Cricetulus griseus: one gene and its partner. The main gene of each other region encodes a partner of the protein of the gene in region 2 in a complex. Links are inferred from orthologs where the notes say so. Each region holds a gene or a part of one and is shown on either strand. Other genes may lie near its edges.

Evidence for each region.
Region 1: the proteins of Nup107 (region 2) and Nup133 are in contact, whole or in part, in a crystal structure (PDB 3CQG), measured with the Homo sapiens proteins. The link is inferred for Cricetulus griseus from reciprocal best matches to the Homo sapiens genes NUP107 and NUP133. Residues at the interface, in NP_065134.1 of Homo sapiens: Leu875, Gln876, Ala878, Asp879, Val881, Ser882, Ser883, Glu884, Tyr889, Lys894, Leu897, Arg898, Leu900, Leu901, Gln902, Arg905, Ser908, Leu909, Leu912, Asp917, Pro918, Leu919, Tyr921; in NP_060700.2 of Homo sapiens: Trp937, Leu938, Ile941, Asn942, Gln944, Leu946, Tyr963, Ala965, Lys966, Lys968, Thr969, Leu970, Gly972, Leu973, Lys975, Leu976, Ala977, Leu979, Ala980, Ser981, Asp982, Ile992, Glu999.

The regions. Positions count from the first base shown.
Region 1 is NC_048596.1:200,585,856-200,589,374, reverse strand, and holds part of Nup133 (nuclear pore complex protein Nup133), read left to right. Parts: intron 1-1,193; coding exon 1,194-1,274; intron 1,275-3,214; coding exon 3,215-3,279; intron 3,280-3,519. UniProt on the Homo sapiens protein: Involved in poly(A)+ RNA transport. Involved in nephrogenesis.
Region 2 is NW_023276806.1:138,571,311-138,575,401, forward strand, and holds the start of Nup107 (nuclear pore complex protein Nup107), read left to right. Parts: upstream 1-1,281; 5' UTR 1,282-1,428; coding exon 1,429-1,436; intron 1,437-2,227; coding exon 2,228-2,319; intron 2,320-2,734; coding exon 2,735-2,821; coding exon of another isoform or gene 2,822-2,846; intron 2,847-3,805; coding exon 3,806-3,939; intron 3,940-4,091. UniProt on the Homo sapiens protein: Plays a role in the nuclear pore complex (NPC) assembly and/or maintenance. Required for the assembly of peripheral proteins into the NPC. May anchor NUP62 to the NPC. Involved in nephrogenesis.

The DNA of each region.
Region 1 (3,519 bases), on a different chromosome or scaffold from region 2:
CAGATGAGCAGCTGGTGTTGTATGCATACTACCTTCCTCCTCTTTCTCCTCCTCCTCCTCCTCTTCCTCCTCCACCTCCTCCTCCTCCTCCTCCTCCTCTGCTCTAACTGTAGTTAAAGGAAAGCAAGCAGTCCAGAATCTTGAGTGTAGGACACTGTTGGCAACAGAGCTTCTGAGTGGTGCTCTCTTCTAAGAGAGCATTTACTGGAGAGATCTGAAATGTAGGCTGTAAGTACTATTATTTTATGTGTCACTAAGCAGGTAAGTGTGGTACCAGTCTTACTCAGACATAACATCCATTTCAATGATAGTCATCAGTTTCAAAGGTGAAAGCAAAGTAATTTTGCAAAGTATTTGGATTGAGCCTGTGTGACAGTGAAAACTAAGATATAGGTTATGTATAAAAGATTTTTCATGTTGTTAGAGAATTATATACAGTTTTTAAAAATGAAATTGTCCTATTACATATAATTGTTAGAAGAGGAAAATATTTAAAAATTCGTATTAATAATTTTAATCAAAAAGTTTTTTATTAAAAGATGGCAGGATTTTGAGGAACATGTATAAGTTATCTGGCATCTAACTCACCAGGGAAACTGAATCACACAGGAAGTGTTGGTTTACTTCTTTTACAGTGTTGAACAATGGAACCCAGGGCCTCATATGCTAAGCAGGTACTCACCACTAAGCCCAGTTGTATGCTAGGTTGTAGTTTTTAAAAAGGAGTAGCATTCCAAAAGCCATGCACTGCGTGACCCTATGAGCCCAAGAGCAGGAATTTATGTCAAAGATTGTACATGAAAGCATGAGGAAAAGTCTGTAGTATATTCTTAATCTAAGATTGTAAGTAGTCTGGCATTTTAAAAAAGAATTTATATCTCATTATATAAATTAATTTCTGGTGTAGAATATGTACTGTTAGCCAGATGGTGGTGGCACATACCTTTAATCCTAGCACTCTAGAGGCAGAGGCAAGCAGATCTCTCTGAGTTCAAGGCCAGCCTGGTCTACAGAGTGAGTTCCAGGAAAAAAGAATATGCATTATTAGGCAACTTTCTATAGCCAGAATATAGCTCCCAAATGTGTCATTGTTCTTGGCTATAAAAATATGTGTAGATTATATAAAAGAAATCAATGACTTACTTTCTTCATAAACTTTCCTGGGTAATTGTCTACCTTGGATCTTGTTGCAGCTGTACATCTGTGAGGAAAACAGACGAGCCAATGAATATGATTTTAAGAAAGCCTTGGACTTGTTGGAATATATTGATGAGGTAAGAAATCACTCTATATAGCTGGGCATACTGATACACACCTTTAATCCCAGCACTCAGGAGGCAGAGGCAGGCAGATCTCTGTGAGTTCAAGGCTAGCCTGGTTCTAGGATAGCCACGGCTACACAGAGAAACCCTGTCTTGACACGAAAAAAAAAAAGGAAGGAAGAAAGGAAAAGGAGGAAAAGAGCTTCTTTTGGTCAATCATAAAATGCCCTCATGAAAAGATTTAGTTTTGGTTAAGAGCCTAAGGTTGCTTCCCTGTGGCTCTTTGAAGACAGACAGCCATCCAGACTGTTAGAAGAGCTGATAGGAATTGCCAGTTCTAGAGAACCCTCTCCTATTTCCAGTTGGCTTTTTTTCTTTGCAGGGGGAGAGGGGGGGATTGGGGATGGGTATGTATGTGTTTGTGGGTGGAGGACAGCTTGCCAGAGTTGGTTTTCTCCTCCTTGACAGGTGGGTTCCCAGGAACAAATTTAGGTCATTTGACTTTTTGGCAATGCCCATACCTGCTGAGCACTGGTCCCAGAAATTTTTTTAAATGAGCTTTTTAAAGTCTTAAGGTATTCTTCTATAGCCTCCTAATAGAAGCTGCCCTTCAGCTTTCAAAGGTTGGAAAGCAAGTGCAGTAAGATCAGTGGTTCTGCTTCTTGGTTGTGTGATCAGAAGTTGTTTGGTAGCCTTTGGAGTCATAATGTTAACTTTTTTTCACACCTTTTTTTGTTGTGGACTCCCCCTTCTCCCCACCCCCACAGGGTTTCCCCACATAACAGCCCTAGCTATCCTGGAACTAGCTCTGTAGGCCAGGATGGCCTTTTTTTTTTTTTTTAAATCTGTATAACTGCCTGCATGCATTTAAATGCATCATGTGTGTGCATTGCCTGCAGAGGCCAGAAGAACATGTCAGATTCCCTGAAACTTAATTTACAGACAGTTGTGACCTGCTATCTGGATGCCAGAAACCAAATCCAGTTCTTCTGTAAGAGCAGAAAGTGCTGCTAATTGCTATGCCATCCCTTTGGCCTGTTTTGGGATGGGGGTGGGGTGGGGGATGGGGGGCTTTGAGACAGGATATTGGTATGACTGAAATCCTTACTTCAGCCTCCCAGCTGCTGAACTCACAGGTATGTATACCACCATACCTGACTATACAACCATTTGTTTGGTTTTTTTTCCTTTGTTCTATATGCATTCATGTTTATGTATGCATGTATACGTTTGTGTCCTGTGGAGGTCAGGACAGCGCTCCGGAGGTCAGTATCATCCTCCGGAGCACCATCCACATCCTTTGGGACAAGGTCATTTGTTGGCCTGGAGTTCATCAATTAGATTACACTAGCCAGTGGGACCTAGGGATCCTCCTTTCTCTCCCTCCCCCCTGCTGGAAATACAAGTGTGTACCACCACACTCAATGTTTTTACATGGGTTTCAGGGTCAGATCCTCATATTTGCAAGGCAAACACTAGGATTTTCCCCCTGCATAACCACTTTAATAATCTTAACTTCTTAGAGTTCCTGATGAACTCAGAGTGATCTGAAATCAACACAGATATCAGCAATCCTAACACTTTAAAGAAAGAGGGGAAAGGGGTCTGGGAGAGATGTCTCGGTAGTTAAGAACACTTGCTGCTTTTGTAGAGAACCCAAGCTTGTTCTAGTACCCACATGGCAACTCACAACCATCTGTAACTCCAGTTCCAAAAGATCCTGTGCCCTTTTCTGGCCTCCTTGGGCATCATGCCCAAATGCAGTATAATTACATATATGCAAGCAAAATATTCATATATGTACAAAATAAATTTTATAGATAGTGGGTGGTGGTGGTTATGAATTAATGCAGAACAACAGTGTTAATTAGAGGTTAGTATAATTAAAGTTTTAATGTACATTTTATTTTTAAAACTTAGCTTTAATCAGGTTGTTCTGTTTTGCTGTGAAGGAGGAAGATGTGAGCATTGATGACCTGAAGCTGGAGATCCTGTGCAGAGCTCTGCAGAGAGATGAGTAAGTCCTTGCTGGGGCGCCAGGTCCATAGGCAGGAACTGCTTCCATCAGAACTGTAACTTGGTGCACAAGATGGGCCTATGTGCTTCTGGGTATTTCAGCATGCTCTGAGCATAGTGGTGATCTCACTATTTTGTTCTGGTTTTTGAAGTAGGGTTTTCCTCTGAAACCCTGGCTGACCTGGAACTGGATCTGTAGACCAGGCTGGCCTCAGAGATCTGACAGCCTCTGCCTCTTTAA
Region 2 (4,091 bases):
TTGCTTCCAGAGGAGCTGTGTTTCCCCAAACCTTTTCTATGGTTTTTTGTTTGTTTGTTTGCTTTTTGTTTGTTTGCTTTTTAACTATTCCATGAGCTCTTGATACCCTTCCAGTACTTTTTTTTTTTTTTGCTTAAGTTAGACATTTCTGTCATGGTGGCCAAGCACCCTAAACAAAAAGCTAGTATGTATACAATATACACCCATACAGGAGTTTATTTCACAGAAATTTAAAGTAATCAAATGTGTATCATTTAAATATTTTAGGGTGCATTTTGATGTTGATGTCTGTAAGTTAAAGGGGTCAGATATGGTCCAGTGGGCAAGAACAGTAAAGAAAGTAAACATGACCATTCCATTAGGGGTAACATTTTGTTATGGGTAAGGAAGAGAAATGATCCAGAGGCAAAACTGGAAGAGTCCAGAGCAGAGAGAAAGAGAAACAGACTATGGACAGGCCTAGGGAAGATGGGGTAGTCAAGATAGCCAAAGATAGAGTTTAATGACAGGACAGCAAAGAATAGAAATTATTTGGGGGTGGGGGTTGGAAGGAGGACAAATAGCTATCAAGGAGGACCCCATTTGAGGATGGAAAACCTCAAGTTCCAGAGGGATGCTGGCTTTTATCTAACAGCCAGAAATCCTATGGTTCAGGTTGAGCTCATGTGGAGGGCCTGAGACCTAACACTCTGAGATGCTGGAACAGGTTAAGTCTCTCCATGCTTAAAACTTTTGAAAAATATTATATATATATATATATATATATATATATATATATATATTTGGTTAGGATCTTATTCTTAGTCCAGCCTGGCTTCAAACTCATGGTGATCCTCCTGCCTCAGCCTCCCAAATGTTGGTATTACAGGAGTGAGCCCATGTGGCATTTATGCACTGCTTTTAATTTTTAAAAAGACGGCTGAATCTGTAAAGGGAAAATAAATAACAATGATAGAAAACAACTAACCCGCCCACTGAGGCTACACCACAAGCGCCCGAGACAGGCCCGTGTCTGTGGAGTGTTGCGGGATGCCAAGGAGGAACGCCAAGGCGGACTCCATCGGAACCCCAGTTTAGCCACTTCTGGCTTCTCAGCAGGACGCCCCACCCAGACCACGCCCACAAAGGCCGCTCGGGGCTCCGCGCCAAGCCCCGCCCCTTCCCGCCCCCTCCCAGCCTAGCTGGCACCGCCCAGTCACGCAGGCACGCCCTGGCACACTTTGGCGCCTGCGCCTACTCGGTCGACGATAACTGCGCATGCGCCAAGTAGGAACACTTTCTCCGTTCCCAGTACTTTTCGCAGGGGCTGGCTGAATCAGGGGCATGCTTCCGGGTCGAAGGGTTTACTTCCGGAGAGCGGGAAGGCTGAAACGCGGTGGCGGCATTGCGGGCAGATTTGCGAGGTTCTAGCTGGCGGAGGCCGCAGCCATGGACAGGTGAGTCCTGGGGACGGCTGGGCCAAGACTTGTGGCTCTCGCCGGTTGGCGGGACGACGTGGTGAAAGCGGAGGAGGAGCCGAGGGTTGTACGTTCACTCCTTCCTTCTCCCTACCTGGGATTTGTTGGAGGAAAGGCCACTTGGTATGGGGGCAGCCAGGATGCAGAGGATGCAGATCCCCGCGTTCCACGCCCCGGCTCCGGGGTCTGTTGGGCGCTCTCTCGCCGCCGTTCGCCCCGAAGTGGGCGGGGTAGGTAGGTAGTGGCGGCCCGGCATTCGAAATGCTAAAGTGAGCAGGCAGTCCGAGGTCACTGCCGGTGAGCAATACTTGACATCTCAGTACTTTGCAAAGTGGCTTTATCGTGGCTATTAATACATTTCAGTTGTACGTTAGTACACTGTGATCAGCTTAACTTGAAGAGCCAGCACCAGGTAGCTGATTTTTCTCATGTAATCTGGTGATTATGCTCGCCTGGGACAAGGATGGGTTGGTTATTCCAGTCGCTTGGCATCGAGGAACCGATTGTGTAGTGAAGAGAGCCAAGCAGGGTAATACTGTGTTATACTGTTCTGCGGGAAAATAAACAGAGGGGACGTTAAATTCCCCGTCACAGGTGTGTCAGGGAAACCTGTCAAAGGTAACTTGCTAGCTGGTACTCCTGGTAGAAAGGTTTAAGGTTTGGCTGTTGGAGTGACCTGTCCTTTGACTGACTCAGGGTCCTTTGCTCTAACTGCAGTGATAAAGTTGTTTTCGTAAATGCTGCCCAAAAGCTTAATTACACTATTTTAGGAGTGGCTTTGTGGAGATGCCATCCCCTGTGATCCGGGAGGCAGAAGTGACAAGGACTGCAAGGAAGCAAAGTGCTCAAAAAAGAGTTTTAAGTATCCTTTGTGTTTTAAGAATTACACAAATTGCAGAATGCTTTGAATCAATGTTGCAGGATTTTCTTTGAGTCATTAGACATTAACTGTGGTAAAAATTGGCTTATTACCTCCATGGGTATTTTACTTGGATACACACTCTGGATGAACTTCAGTGAGGTTAAGATTTCTGTTTCTCTGGTTCCCTACTAGTATGTCATGGTGCTAACTAGTAGTCAGTACATATTATCTAACTCTGATCTGAGAGTTTAATTGACCGAAGGAATTAACTACTATGTACACAGGAAACGTGGTAGCTGTAAAATGCTTTGTTCTTGACAAAAATGTATTCATGCATCTTGTGTAGTAAATCTATTGTTATCGTTAGTAATTTTTTTTTCTCAACATGGAAAGCTTTCCTTAATTCTTCCCAAAGTTCAGGCCAACCAAGATGAAAATTTTGGTAATACTACACCAAGAAGCCAAATTATTCTTCGAACTCCGAGCTCATTTCGACAGCCTTGTAAGATTTTTGTTTCTGCTTTTAAAGTATTTAATAGAGTAGTAGTCATAATATCAGCTAACATTTATATAATTTGCATAATGAAATATGTGGCAACAGTATCAGGAACTAAGCATAGATAATAATGGTTATAGTTATCTGAACTCTTATGAATAAGGACTGTACTTTATATTAATACATAGTAATGGTGACATACTGTTAGTTCTCCAAACTAGAAGGTGGACTTGGAGGAGCCAGTGGGAGTGAGTGGGTGCTGTTATTTAGACATTGAAAACAGAGTTCAAATAACAGTCTGGTTTGCTTTAAAGTCCAGGCCCACTACACTCACTGTATGCCTCATTGTGCTCTCTGAAATCAGACAATGAAGGATCTGCTGACTGGTGCCACCTTGGTTGTTTTAATTTTAAGTCTGTGCAGTTAACATTTATATTGAAAGTATCTTTTATAGTAAAAAAAATTTAGTAGTAGTATGATAAGCTCAACTTTAGAAAAATAAGCTAATTCTTCCATAACATAAACATTTTAAAGTGTTTGATCTGAATCTAAATAATTGAAAATTGAGAAATTGTTCTTTCATATGTAAGTGTGGGTGTTTCATGTTCATGTGTATGTAGATGCATGAATATATACATGTTCCTGATGAGTGTCTGGAGGAGTGTGCGTGTGCCTGTGTGTGTGTACATGCACATATGTGTGCACACGTGTCTCCAGGTGAACCTTGGGTGTTAGTCCTTGGGAGCCTTTAAGACAGTTTCCCATTAGGACCTAGGGCTTTCTGATTAGTCTAGACTCTCAGGGTCTCCTGTGTCCTCTCCCTGGCACTAGGATTACAAGTGTGCACCTCTGTTCCAGAGTGTCTTACTAGATGCTAGGGATCAAACTCAGGTCCTCACACTTGTACCACAAGCACTGTACTGGTGGAGTCATCTCCCCCATACCCGGGAAAATATATTTGTTGCTGGTCTACTTGCTCTGTGTTTACAGTTCCTGGCCTTTCACTTGTTACCCCACCAAGCCGAAGCTTACTAAGACACCCAGATATTTCCTGCATTCTCGGAACGGAAGGGAAGTCTCCCCGGCACACACAGTCTTCTGGGTTCTTGGGAAATCTATCCATGGTATGTAGAAATAAATAATGCACTTAAGTATTTGGCTTAAAAGCCTTTTAATGCGCCGGGCGTTGGTGGCGCACGCCTTTAATCCCAGCTCCCAGCACTCGGGAGGCAGAGACAGGTGAATCTCTGTGAGTTCAAGGCCAGCCTGGTCTCCA